Drosophila melanogaster: one gene and its partner. The gene in region 1 interacts genetically with each later gene. Each region holds a gene or a part of one and is shown in the gene's direction. Other genes may lie near its edges.

What was found. A genetic interaction does not mean that the proteins touch.
Region 2: of dsh (region 1) and hep, changing one suppresses a phenotype caused by changing the other (phenotypic suppression), as found in Drosophila melanogaster (5 studies listed by BioGRID).

What each region holds. Positions count from the first base shown.
Region 1 is NC_004354.4:11,353,501-11,359,736, forward strand, and holds dsh (dishevelled), read left to right. Parts: upstream 1-2,380; 5' UTR 2,381-2,853; coding exon 2,854-4,725; 3' UTR 4,726-5,224; downstream 5,225-6,236. Other genes in the region: CG1737 (uncharacterized protein), read left to right, coding at 1-1,035; Pa1 (PTIP associated 1), read left to right, coding at 5,829-6,037, 6,104-6,236.
Region 2 is NC_004354.4:13,087,020-13,093,160, reverse strand, and holds the start of hep (hemipterous), read left to right. Parts: upstream 1-2,726; 5' UTR 2,727-3,384; coding exon 3,385-3,802; intron 3,803-6,020; coding exon 6,021-6,141. Other genes in the region: lic (licorne), read right to left, coding at 1-1, 675-877, 940-1,072, 1,159-1,549, 1,620-1,678. UniProt on the Drosophila melanogaster protein: Required for the epithelial cell sheet movement called dorsal closure (DC), which allows establishment of the dorsal epidermis. Controls the expression in the dorsal epithelium edges of another dorsal closure gene, puckered (puc).

The sequences.
Region 1 (6,236 bases):
CCGCTGATGAGCATGGGCAAGGAGCTCTGTCCCACGGACGTCGACACCGAAGAGGACGATCCGGATCCAGATCTCGATTTTGATATCGATAATATACCGGTATCTATTGTTACCCGTAAGAATGCCAATGTCAATGCCAATGCCAAGTCCAAGCAGGTGACGACAACGACGTCGGTGGCGGCGTCGGCGGCGATGACGTCCGCTCCAGCAGCGGTAGCGGTTAACAAGTTGAACAACAATCGGCGCAATGTGCTGTCCACGACAGCGTCGTCGGTGAATGCGCTGATTGCGGACCGGAGGCTGAGCAATCTGCTGGCCGATAACGATGTCCAGCCGGTGTTCAAGAAGCCGAGCCTGGTTCCGCAGCGTCGCAGCAAGGAGAACCAGCAGGAGCAGCAGCGCGACAAGGAGCTGACAACGCTGCGCGAAATATTGCCCACCGGCGGTGGCATCGACGATGCCAACAGTCCCAAATATTTTCCGCCCGAGACCACAACGTTTCACGAGGAGGATGGTCGTGTGGTAAAGAAGATCACCTGCTATGAGACGTGGCATGTGGTTAGCACGGCCAAGGATATGTTGTCGAAGATGGCGCGCCAGCAGCGCACCTGCCTGGAGCTGGCGCTGGTCAAGCTGGCCAATGTGGCGTCACGGATAAAGGTGCCATCGGGCAAATGGACCAGCAAGGTGACGCTGTACAAGGTCTCGCCGTCGATGATGCCCCGCCAGACAATGACCATCTTTACGGGCGATCTCAAGGCGTACAACATACCCGAGGAGGACCGTCACAAGTATCAGCCGTCGTGCGTGCTCTTCCGGCGCGTTGTCGTTGACAAGAACACGTGCCGCGTGCCCTACGATCGGGCCGTCATCTTCAAGAACAAATGCTTCTATGCGAACATCGATGGCAAGCATGTGAATCTGTTGGGTGCCCCCGAGACGGTTGCCACCATCAAGGATGTGGAGATCCTGCTGGATATCGTCGATCGCCTCTCGATCAGCAGCAACATTGTCGAGCTGGTCAACGCTAAGTGAGCGTGGAGGCCTGGTCCATGGTGGCCACAGGAAGAGCACGTATCACATTGTAAAAAATAATTCACACACAGCACTCCCCTCCCCATCCCCATCCCCCTCCCCCATACACATACACAAACAAACAAAGCGGACACTCGATAATTCGTTTTATGCTGTAGTTGTAATAAAACAGATACAAGTTTTTTTTTGTAAAACCATTAACTTAGTTGTAATAGCTAGTGTAGCGTAAATTTATATATATTTATATGTATATATATATATGTATGTATATAAATATATATTAATATATATACACGTATATATAATTATATATTTATATATATGAATATATATATATATATATTTATATAAATTTTTATATATATATATCTCGTATATTATAAACAGCGGACGGACATACATAAATACAAACGGCAGATGTATCTATGTAATATAAACTAAACTAAAGAAAACAATTAATTGTAAAATGCTCGCCCAACTCTCGAAGGGATTGCGAAGTTCCGGGCGGTCGAGGTATATCAATAATGATTTTTATTTTAAATGCGTTGGAATACATAGCCCCCCTCCGCCTTCCCCGCGAGTCCCGCCCCCTTCGAAATCCTTTTTTTTTAAATTGCTATTATCGTAGTCGATTCAATAATATAAAACCGGGCGTACATGTGCCTACGCCCGCGTGGAGGACTAGCCAGTAAGTTAGTCGAGTGTATATCTAAGTGATCCCAATTCAAAGCATACAAATAAAAGAGAAAACTGATTTAAATAACGAGCGCCATTGCGTGATAAATGGCGGGCGGGGTTATCTGGAAATCGGGCAGCTATAAATAAACTGCGGCCAACGCTAGAGATTTTCGTGTGAAAAGCGAAAGAAGATAAGGAACGCAGGCTTCAAGTGGATGGATGGATGAGTTTCCTTGGTCAAGTTTCCATGACAAGGATAAAGACTCTACTTTTAAACAGGACACTCTTCAACTATGCTACATCATTATATGGTAAATTAATACAATTAAGAGTTCAATATAGCTGTAGTTTTAGATTCTACATGTTTTATGTAATAGAAATTGCTATTTTGTTAAATTATAATAAATTTATTGTTTTGAATAAGTATTCAAATTAAACGATATTTATCGATAACTTTGGTATTTAATTTTAAAAGTGTTTGAACTACATTCAAATTGTAAAGCAAATATCGTTAGAGAGAGCATTTCCAATAGAAACTAAATACATTGCAGTTTTTAGTAGTTTTCCATACGCTTTTTCAGAATATTCGTTTGAGAAAATGTTAAGAATGTTCGAATTCGAAAGGGTCTGGCATCGCCGGCAGTGTGACCAACTGCCCGGCGCTTTGGCATTCCGTGCGTGACGAGCGGCTAACACACTGTTTTTTTTTAGTCTCAAAATTCTAACAAATTTATTGATAAACTAGCAATATGCTCGTTTCGCCCTGCCCCCGCTGCGTGCACCGACATTAAAGCGCACCAAATCGTGCTAATGGAGCAATATCAACGCCGTGCAAATCGACGAATTAACAGCCGCCGCTTCCATTGAATCGAAATACCCAGCCCAAAAAAAAGAGAAAGAAAAAGTAAAAGAAACGCGTGCGAGAGCGAGAGGGCTAGAGCGACCAGGGGGAGAAAAGCAAAATCGAGTGAATTTTGTTTGTTGTATCGGCTTTTCCCTGGCTTAATCCCGTTTTCCCTGTGATTTTTCCCCACCAACTTCCCACGCCACCTCCCCACCGCATCCATCGCATTTCGTTTTGATCGCGTTTTATCGCGTCGAGGAGTTTTCCCGTGGATTTCCGCAGTCGGCGCAGCTAAAATGGACGCGGACAGGGGCGGCGGGCAGGAGACGAAGGTGATATACCACATCGACGATGAGACGACGCCGTATCTGGTGAAGATCCCCATTCCATCCGCCCAGGTGACGCTGCGCGATTTCAAGCTGGTGCTGAACAAGCAGAACAACAACTACAAGTACTTCTTCAAGTCAATGGACGCCGATTTCGGTGTGGTCAAAGAGGAAATAGCCGACGACTCCACCATACTGCCCTGCTTCAATGGGCGAGTGGTGTCCTGGCTGGTCTCCGCCGATGGTACCAATCAGTCAGATAACTGCTCCGAGCTGCCAACCAGTGAGTGTGAATTGGGCATGGGTCTGACCAACAGGAAGCTACAGCAGCAACAGCAGCAGCATCAGCAGCAGCAACAACAACAGCAGCAGCAGCACCAGCAACAGCAACAACAACAGCAGCAGCAGGTGCAGCCTGTCCAGCTGGCGCAGCAGCAACAGCAGCAGGTGCTCCATCACCAGAAGATGATGGGCAATCCGCTGCTGCAGCCGCCACCGCTCACATATCAATCGGCATCCGTGCTCTCCAGCGATCTGGACTCGACCAGTCTCTTTGGCACCGAATCCGAATTGACGCTGGACCGCGACATGACCGACTATAGCAGCGTTCAGCGATTGCAGGTGCGCAAGAAGCCGCAGAGGCGCAAAAAACGGGCGCCCAGCATGTCGCGCACCTCCTCGTACAGCTCCATAACCGACTCGACCATGTCCCTAAATATCATTACCGTCTCCATCAACATGGAGGCGGTCAACTTTCTGGGCATATCCATTGTCGGGCAATCGAATCGCGGCGGCGACGGCGGCATCTACGTGGGCAGCATCATGAAAGGCGGCGCAGTGGCACTCGATGGACGCATCGAACCGGGCGACATGATCCTCCAAGTGAACGATGTCAACTTCGAGAACATGACCAACGACGAGGCGGTACGTGTGCTGAGAGAAGTCGTTCAGAAGCCGGGACCCATCAAGCTGGTGGTGGCCAAGTGCTGGGACCCAAATCCCAAGGGCTACTTCACCATTCCGCGCACGGAGCCGGTGCGACCCATCGATCCCGGTGCTTGGGTGGCGCACACTCAGGCCCTCACATCGCACGACAGTATTATTGCCGACATTGCGGAGCCGATTAAGGAGCGTCTGGACCAGAATAACCTCGAGGAGATCGTTAAGGCGATGACGAAGCCGGACAGCGGCCTGGAGATCAGGGATCGCATGTGGCTAAAGATAACGATTCCCAATGCATTTATCGGCGCCGATGCGGTCAATTGGGTGCTGGAGAATGTGGAGGATGTTCAGGATAGGCGGGAGGCGCGAAGGATCGTCTCGGCGATGCTGCGCAGCAATTACATCAAGCATACGGTCAATAAGTTGACCTTCTCGGAGCAGTGCTACTACGTGGTGAACGAGGAGCGCAATCCCAATCTGTTGGGCCGAGGACATCTGCATCCGCACCAGCTGCCGCACGGGCATGGCGGCCATGCGCTTAGCCATGCGGACACCGAGAGCATCACCAGCGACATCGGGCCGCTACCGAACCCGCCCATTTATATGCCATATTCGGCCACGTACAATCCAAGTCACGGCTATCAGCCGATCCAGTACGGCATCGCCGAGCGACACATCTCGTCGGGATCGAGTAGCAGCGATGTGCTGACCAGCAAGGATATCTCGGCGTCGCAGAGCGACATCACCTCGGTGATCCATCAGGCCAACCAGCTGACCATCGCCGCTCATGGCTCTAACAAATCATCCGGCTCCTCCAATCGGGGCGGCGGCGGAGGCGGTGGCGGTGGCGGCAACAATACCAACGATCAGGACGTATCCGTATTTAATTACGTATTGTAGAAACCTTTCTTTTTGCAATCAAATTGTGTTTTTAATTAATTAAATTAAATATGTACGATTATTCTTTTTTATATACGAGTATACAAAGCAAGCAAACAGCAAACCACAATATAATAATTATAATTATAATAATAATAATAATAATAATTATAATAATAATAATAATACTTATGTATATGTATGGTATGTGTAAGTCATAGAAAAGAACGCTAAACACCCAGCCGCAACGAGTCAAGGATCAGCGAGGGCTCGTGAGGCAGCAGGAGGATCAGCACAGGGATATCCGTGTCCGGCAGCAATCGGTTGTGGACCCGATCAGATCAGATCAACTGAGATATATGATATATGATATATATATATATATATATATATATATATATATGGATGATGCGGAGCGGAGCGGAGGAGCAGGAACGGCAGCATGACGGGCGAGAATGATTTTGAATAAAGTTCTAAGAATTTAGTAATCACAAAGTAAATAAATACAAATAAAATGAATAATCGATGGCTTTTCCATATGCATGAGATTGGTTTCTTTAACGCATTTTAGCTGTTTTCAAGTGCAAATCAAATTGCCAAGAAGACTTTTAAAATATTCCTAAAACATATTAGCGTTTGTTCGTAATTTGAGGAATATACATTAAAAAGGAAGTCTAATTTTTGTTAGTTCTTATTTCTTTGTACAGATTAACAATATTTAAACACATACTTTCCATCCTAAAAAGTAAAAGTCTCAACAAGATAATATTGTTCTTCCCCCTAAACCAAACAATGCGCCATCGAGAACAATCCTCGAAGTTGTGTGCACTCGGAGCGGAAACATTCCGGGCATGGGTGTGCACTTAATAAAGAAGAGAATAATGAAACCTATAAATAGAAAATCCATTTCGAGCAGCAAATGTGTTCAAATCAACCGCCCAGCTCGGACACTTTGCAACACTAAGCCCGAAAATCGATAGCAACGAACGTTCGATAACTGTTCGATAAGCACGCCAAAGCAAACTATCGCTTTCATTCCAGAAAGGTCGCGAAACCAATAGGTTCTATTGTGGAAAGAAACGCAAATTTCCAGTTCATTTGGATTGTTTAAATCCGAGAAAACGATGGCAACGGATGTGGAGCCGGCGGCGAATACGGCGGACAAGTTCTCCGCCAACGCGGAGGAGCTAGAGGGCTACTATCTGATGCTGGAGGCGGGAAATATTCCGGAACTGCAATGGCAATTTCCGGGACGCAGGGCTCCATCGCCGGAGGCGGGATCTGGCGGCAATAGCAAGGAACTCGAACAGGCCACCGACGCCATTGAGCAGGAGTAAGAACAAGTGCAGCACCATCCGAAGGTTAACATAACTTATGATTGATTTTCGTGTCCCCGCAGACCGCAGAAGGCCAACGACTTTGATTTCAGCGACGATGTGGCCCCCACCCAGATGCGCGTCCGCAGCCAGACGTCCACGCCCAAGTCGGCCAAAAAGAAGACGGCCAACTTCGCCGGCGTCATGGAGACGCTG
Region 2 (6,141 bases), 1.7 Mb from region 1:
CCTAAAAGATAATAAAAAAAAAAATAGGTTCTTAATTACGCACGATGCGAAAACTTGTGGTTTAGATCGGTTACAAAATCCCTCTGATAAAAGCCTCATTCTGTATGTTTATTAATAGTTTTGTTTAGTATTCTGATAACCACAGCAGCTTGGCACATTACTAATGGTTTTTTTTAGAGTTTATTGTACGTGTAAAGTGCTTGAGAACAAGTGGTTATATTTTTAATTAAAATTACTTAATAGTTATTTGTGAGCCCCCAATAAGTTATGTAACGAAAGTTGGTTCTTGACATTAATATTAACAAAATCATTAGCAGGAAATAATAATACTCAGCATTTGCTTCGTATATGATTATGAGTGGCTATAACTACTATTTTTATACTATTTTCGACGGATTATCTGTGAAAAAACATAAGCTCCAATCAAACGTGTCAATTGATTATTAATTATCAAATTTTTAGAAATTCCACCCTTCTTAAAAGCTTTTAGCTACCACAATTGGAAAAATCCAAATGTTCATTACATATATGATAAGATGGAATACATTATCGGATCGGTAGCCTTTGTATAATTAGGACCTAAAATCCCAAATTGACTAAATGACACATATTTTGTCCGGAAAAATCTTGAAGATCCTCTTTGTGACAGTTACCAGCCAGAGGTAGGCACTCACCTGACGCAGTTGCTCAAATGGCGTTCGCCAATTGTCGTATGGGTAGCGGCCCGTGGCCATTTCGATCATGCCGATGCCCAGCGACCAAACATCCGACCTGATGTCGTATTGCGCCGGATTTCCTTGGGGATCGATCCGTTCCGGCGCCATGTACGGCTTGCAACCGGCATCAATGGTTTTGGCAATGGAGTCGACGAGGTAGCCTAAAAGTCAGTCCAATATTAGAATGATTACAGTGGCAAGAAGTCACAGAATGCCAGCCCACCTGAGATGCCAAAGTCACAGATCTTGACCTGGCCGGCCCGATTGATCAGTATGTTCGAGGGCTTGACGTCCCGATGAATGACTTTCAGTTGAGCGTGCAGATAGTGCAGCGCACTGACCACGCTCATGGCAATCTGTAAAGCAAAGGCAGTAGTACGGTAATAGTATAGTGGCGATTGCCCGATAAGATTAGACCCGCCCCCAATCCTCCCCAGCTGACCTTGCCCAGCACGCTTTCCTCCATTCGCAGATCGTGAAGGAAGACCTTCGGATAGAACTTGTCCAGGCTGGTGCTCATCACCTCCATGCAAATCCAGACATCGCCCTCGCGATACATCGCACCATAAAAGTGGACGGTGTAGGGGCAGTCGCTGGATCTCATCGATATGTCCAAATCCATTACAAGGCGGTGCTGTTCTCGAATATTTACGGTCATGGGTATGCGTTTGACGGCCAGGACCGTATCGGTTTGCTTATGGCGCATCTTATCCACGATGCCATAGGCGCCACGGCCCAGATCGCAGATCTTCTCGAGACTATCTGCATCGATGTCAAAGGTCCGGTCGCCAATTTGGATGGTGGCCCGCGAGTCCAGGTTGCGTGGCGGGACTCTAAAAGGATTGCCGAATGTAGTTCAATTCACAATTCGTTTCTGGCCAGGATTTGACCATTTTGACTTACATGGCGGCCTCTGGCTCCTTGGCAATGGTAAAGGGCGTGAGGCGGTGGCGTTTGGACATTTTGGTAGGCCCTTCTATATCCTATATCCTATATGCTATATGCTATATATACCCTCTCCTCTCCACGACTTTCCTTGGTGTTTTCTGGCGGATTCTGCAAGACTTGGCGGTTCGGTGCGAATCGGATGCGATGCGGTGCGGCTATTTTTACCGCATTTGGTCAGGTCAGGATTCGGATGCGGGTCGGTGATATGGGGATCGGATCGGTGTGGATCGTGTGGCCCGGGTTTTGCCGCCCAACCTTTCGCTATTGCCTTTGCTTTCCTTTCCGCACTTTTTGCACTGTTCACCGATCGCTTTTCGCTTCTCTTCTCGTTTTTCTCTCTTTTCCACTAGCGCTGGCCAGCCGCAGTTGGTCCTATCGATATATCCCAACGAGTGCAGCTATAGTATCGTCATACAAATAAATCGAAGTGCCTCGATAATAAATTTGCTTCCACCTGCAACGAATTTAGATAATTAAGTTAGGTATCGATTATATCTATATCTCTTTGTAAGCCTTCTAGAAAGTTGTTCCGTATATTCTTCATACCTATTTTTTAATGTTTGTTTATTTTCTTTAATTTTTTATTTATACATTTATAGACATTTATTTTAAGGGAAAACTTAATAAGTTCTAGCCAAGTGATGCCCATCTTAAGTTGCATTTCGGTATATTTATGATTCTTTTTAGCACTTTGGTCACTCCGTTTTCGATACGTAATGTTGCAAGTTTGACTGAACATATAGAATTCGATGTTTTAGAATTGTACTAAAATAATTTATTATTTTATTAATTAATAAATAGGTAGACCTTATATTATTATTTTAAGTACAAGAACAACGAAGTCTCTCGAATCGACCAATTTGAATTTGAAAAATCTATTATAGTTATATTATATTTGTATGAAATATCCTCTGAAAATTATTCTATCTCGGTAAAATAAAATCCTACATAGTTTTAGATGCCGTTCCTAGTTCGAAAACTGTTTCTGAGGTGCCGATGTTTTGCAAACCATCGATAGGCACGAAAAAAGATATTAAGAATTATCGGCGAAGAACCATCGATGGCTGATGCATCGATGTTTTTTTACATCACTATTGTACACGCGATTTAGGCAGCAAAAACGTACAAAAGCGAGTGATCAAATTGTGCCAGTGATACCGCCGCCCGCGGTCGCGAAACGAATCGATTGCAGAAGTGCGACAAACAGCGCCGCGAAAGGAAAACAACCGATGAAATATTCTCCCAAAAAAGGAGGAAAAAATCGCAAGTTGTTGTTGCCGTTGCTGCTGAAAAAGAAAGAGAGAGAGGGCGCTGCGTGTATGCCTGTGTGTGTGCGTGTGTGGGGGTGAGGATGTCTCTCTCTAATGCACAGTGACTGTGTTTTCCTTTTTTCGATTTTGTTTTTGTGCCCCCCCTTGGCAAACAACAAAAGTCCAAGCAATCCTTTATTTTTGCAAGTGTAAAGTTTACAGTGTATGTGTGCCGCCGAACAACAACAACATCAGCGACAAAACAAACAGGGCGCACAGCAAAACAATTCACACACACACGCACCCTCCCCCGCCTGCGCGCGCTTGTGTGTGTGTGAGAGAGAGGGAGTGAGTGAGAGGAAAATCGAAGAAGTGCTGGCCAAAAAACGGCGAAAAAAATTTAATAAATACCAAAATCCAACGATACTAGCAACTAACTATAAAAAATCGAACCAAATCGACTCGATATAATGTCCACCATTGAGTTCGAAACGATCGGCAGTCGGCTGCAATCCTTGGAGGCAAAGCTCCAGGCGCAGAATGAGTCCCACGACCAGATCGTCCTCTCCGGTGCGCGCGGCCCTGTCGTTTCCGGTTCCGTTCCATCTGCCCGCGTCCCGCCCCTGGCGACATCCGCATCCGCAGCCACATCCGCCACCCACGCACCTTCCTTGGGCGCAGGTTCCGTTTCCGGATCGGGTATCAGCATAGCCCAGCGTCCAGCACCTCCAGTTCCTCATGCGACGCCCTTCGGCAGCGCCAGCGCCTCGTCATCATCCTCATCCGCATCCGCATTTGCATCCGCAGCACCGGCGACGGGCACCTTCGGTGGAACATACACCCCGCCGACAACTAGAGTGTCGCGAGCCACGCCCACACTGCCCATGCGTAAGTCCTCTTTTCGTTAACTTCCTACTAAATCTTTAATATATAAAATTAATTGGGATCAACTAGAAAAACACTGTAGTTACCTGAATCTTTGAAAATCGTTGAAGAAAAATATAACAAAATATAATGTCACAACTAAACTCCATGTACCAGGGAATACTCTAAACCGCTATCTAAAAATGATAGCTTATCAAACTGCGTACTGTAACTCAAAATTTTCCAACGAGACTTTCCCGATTCGAATATTCGATAATTCTCTACTTTCGAAAGTAAATCGTTGTCGAAAAACAGTTTTGGCCGCCAAAAACGTGGTAAAACTTTCCAAGTAAATTTCCAAACGCACAAACAACATTTTTGATATTAATTCGCAGAAAGATCAATGTTTTATCGATCGAACATTAGACAGGTGAAATCTTTATTGATCCTCTGTGACAGGTGTGGATTTAAGCCAACATTTCTCTGACCGCAACTGTAGACAGTTTGTTAAGTGGTAATAAAAGTGGGCTGAGAAAAATCGTGATCCCCAAAAATGGTCACCAAAAATCTATATATACCGTACCGCCAACCGCAAGCCACAAAACCATCTTTTGTCCGCATTTGTGTAAATATTTTGTTAATAAATTGTCATTGCCCAATAAGCTGTGTATGTGCGCGTGTGTGTGTGTACATACATGTATGTGTGCTTAAATTGTGATAAGAGAAGTGCTCTTTTCTTGGCTTTTCCCATTGCTATTGCCATTGGGTTTACTTTGGAGCATTTGGATGCCGCCAACAAAGGGCAAACGCTATCGATTCCCCGACTGCATAACAGCTGCTCATAATCCCCCATTCCAGCACCTCAGCAGCGCCCCGTCAACCCCGTAGCTCTGCCGCTTTTCCCCCCCTCCGATTTCCCGTTCTGTTTTTCCGATTGCATAGATAAGACAGGCCAAGTGCGAACACCAAAAGCGTACCCAACTTGTTTTCGGCCTTTTGTTGGGCCAAACAAAAATAAAAAGAAGTCAAATCTACAGTGGTATTAACAGCTGTGAACCGCGTCAATTTATTTTCGCCTCGATTAGATTAACAATTCCTGGTACCATAACTGTTTGATACATGAACCCCAGAAAATGCCTAATGGGTTTTTGAATAATCAAATACATTTCGATTCGATTAGATTAGTAGTGGTTAATAGTTTCCGCGAATTTCAGGGGTACTTAAAATCACACCCAAATTTTAACAGTGTAATCAGCTATTGAATAGATTTTCAAGTTCGTGGTACATAATGAGCGAGCAAAAGTTAAATGAATAAATAGCTAACAAAATATAACGGTCTATATGTTAATTTATCAGAACAAAATTGGTTTATTAAAGACAAAAGTTGTCGTTATTCGATTATTTATGAGGCTTAAATTGATAGAAATTTTAAATTTTTCATGTAAGAGATGACGTTATTGTGCCCACGGTTGTGAGACCACCCACCGCCTTTTTTCGTTTCTTTTCCCCTTCCTTTTGTTATACATTTAAGTTTTTGCATATTTGTCTTGTATATTTTTCTTATTGGATTTTCATCTGCCATCAAGTGTTGTTATTTATTTACTTACATACTTTTTATTTACTTTTTGCATGTGTGCGTCTCTCTACTCGCGTTTGGTGCTCTCTTCCTCTCTCGCTCTCCGCCATTGGTTACTTTTTGGCATTTCCGGAGTAATGTCTTGATATGCCCGTTACTGTTGTTGTCATTTTTTTTGGGCCTCACATATTCCCACCTCCGCCGCACCCTGCCCACATTCGTTCATCGGACATTGTGCCGTGTCTCCTCTTTCGCATGTTTACAAATAGCGTTATTTTTTATGACGTGCTGTTGTTGTAGTGGCTAATTGTTGAATTGAATTGCTGCCAGGGAAAAAAAAACTTCGCAAACAAAAACAAAATCGCTCTCATTCGCTCTTCCTCTTCATGCACACACACACACACGCACACGATGGCACAGTGGGCAGCATTCGTTAATTGATTAGTGGCCTATGGTAACCCAATTGGAAGTTATTGCAAATATTTCAAAGGATTGTTTTTAAGGCATTTTTTTCGTATAGAAATTGAGAGATATGTGTTGGAAGTATTCTTGTTGTATATAATAGATATGCAAAATATTGTTTAATTTTTTAGTTAGATTGAATTTAATACGTACATTTTTATCATCATACCAACATATCGCTGTTTTCCATTGTATATCCTATAGTTTCTAGTGGTCCCGGTGGTGGACTGAATCGTACGCGGCCGGTGATACTTCCGCTGCCCACGCCGCCACATCCTCCAGTTTCGGAAACGGACATGAAGCTGAAGATCATCATGGAGCAGAC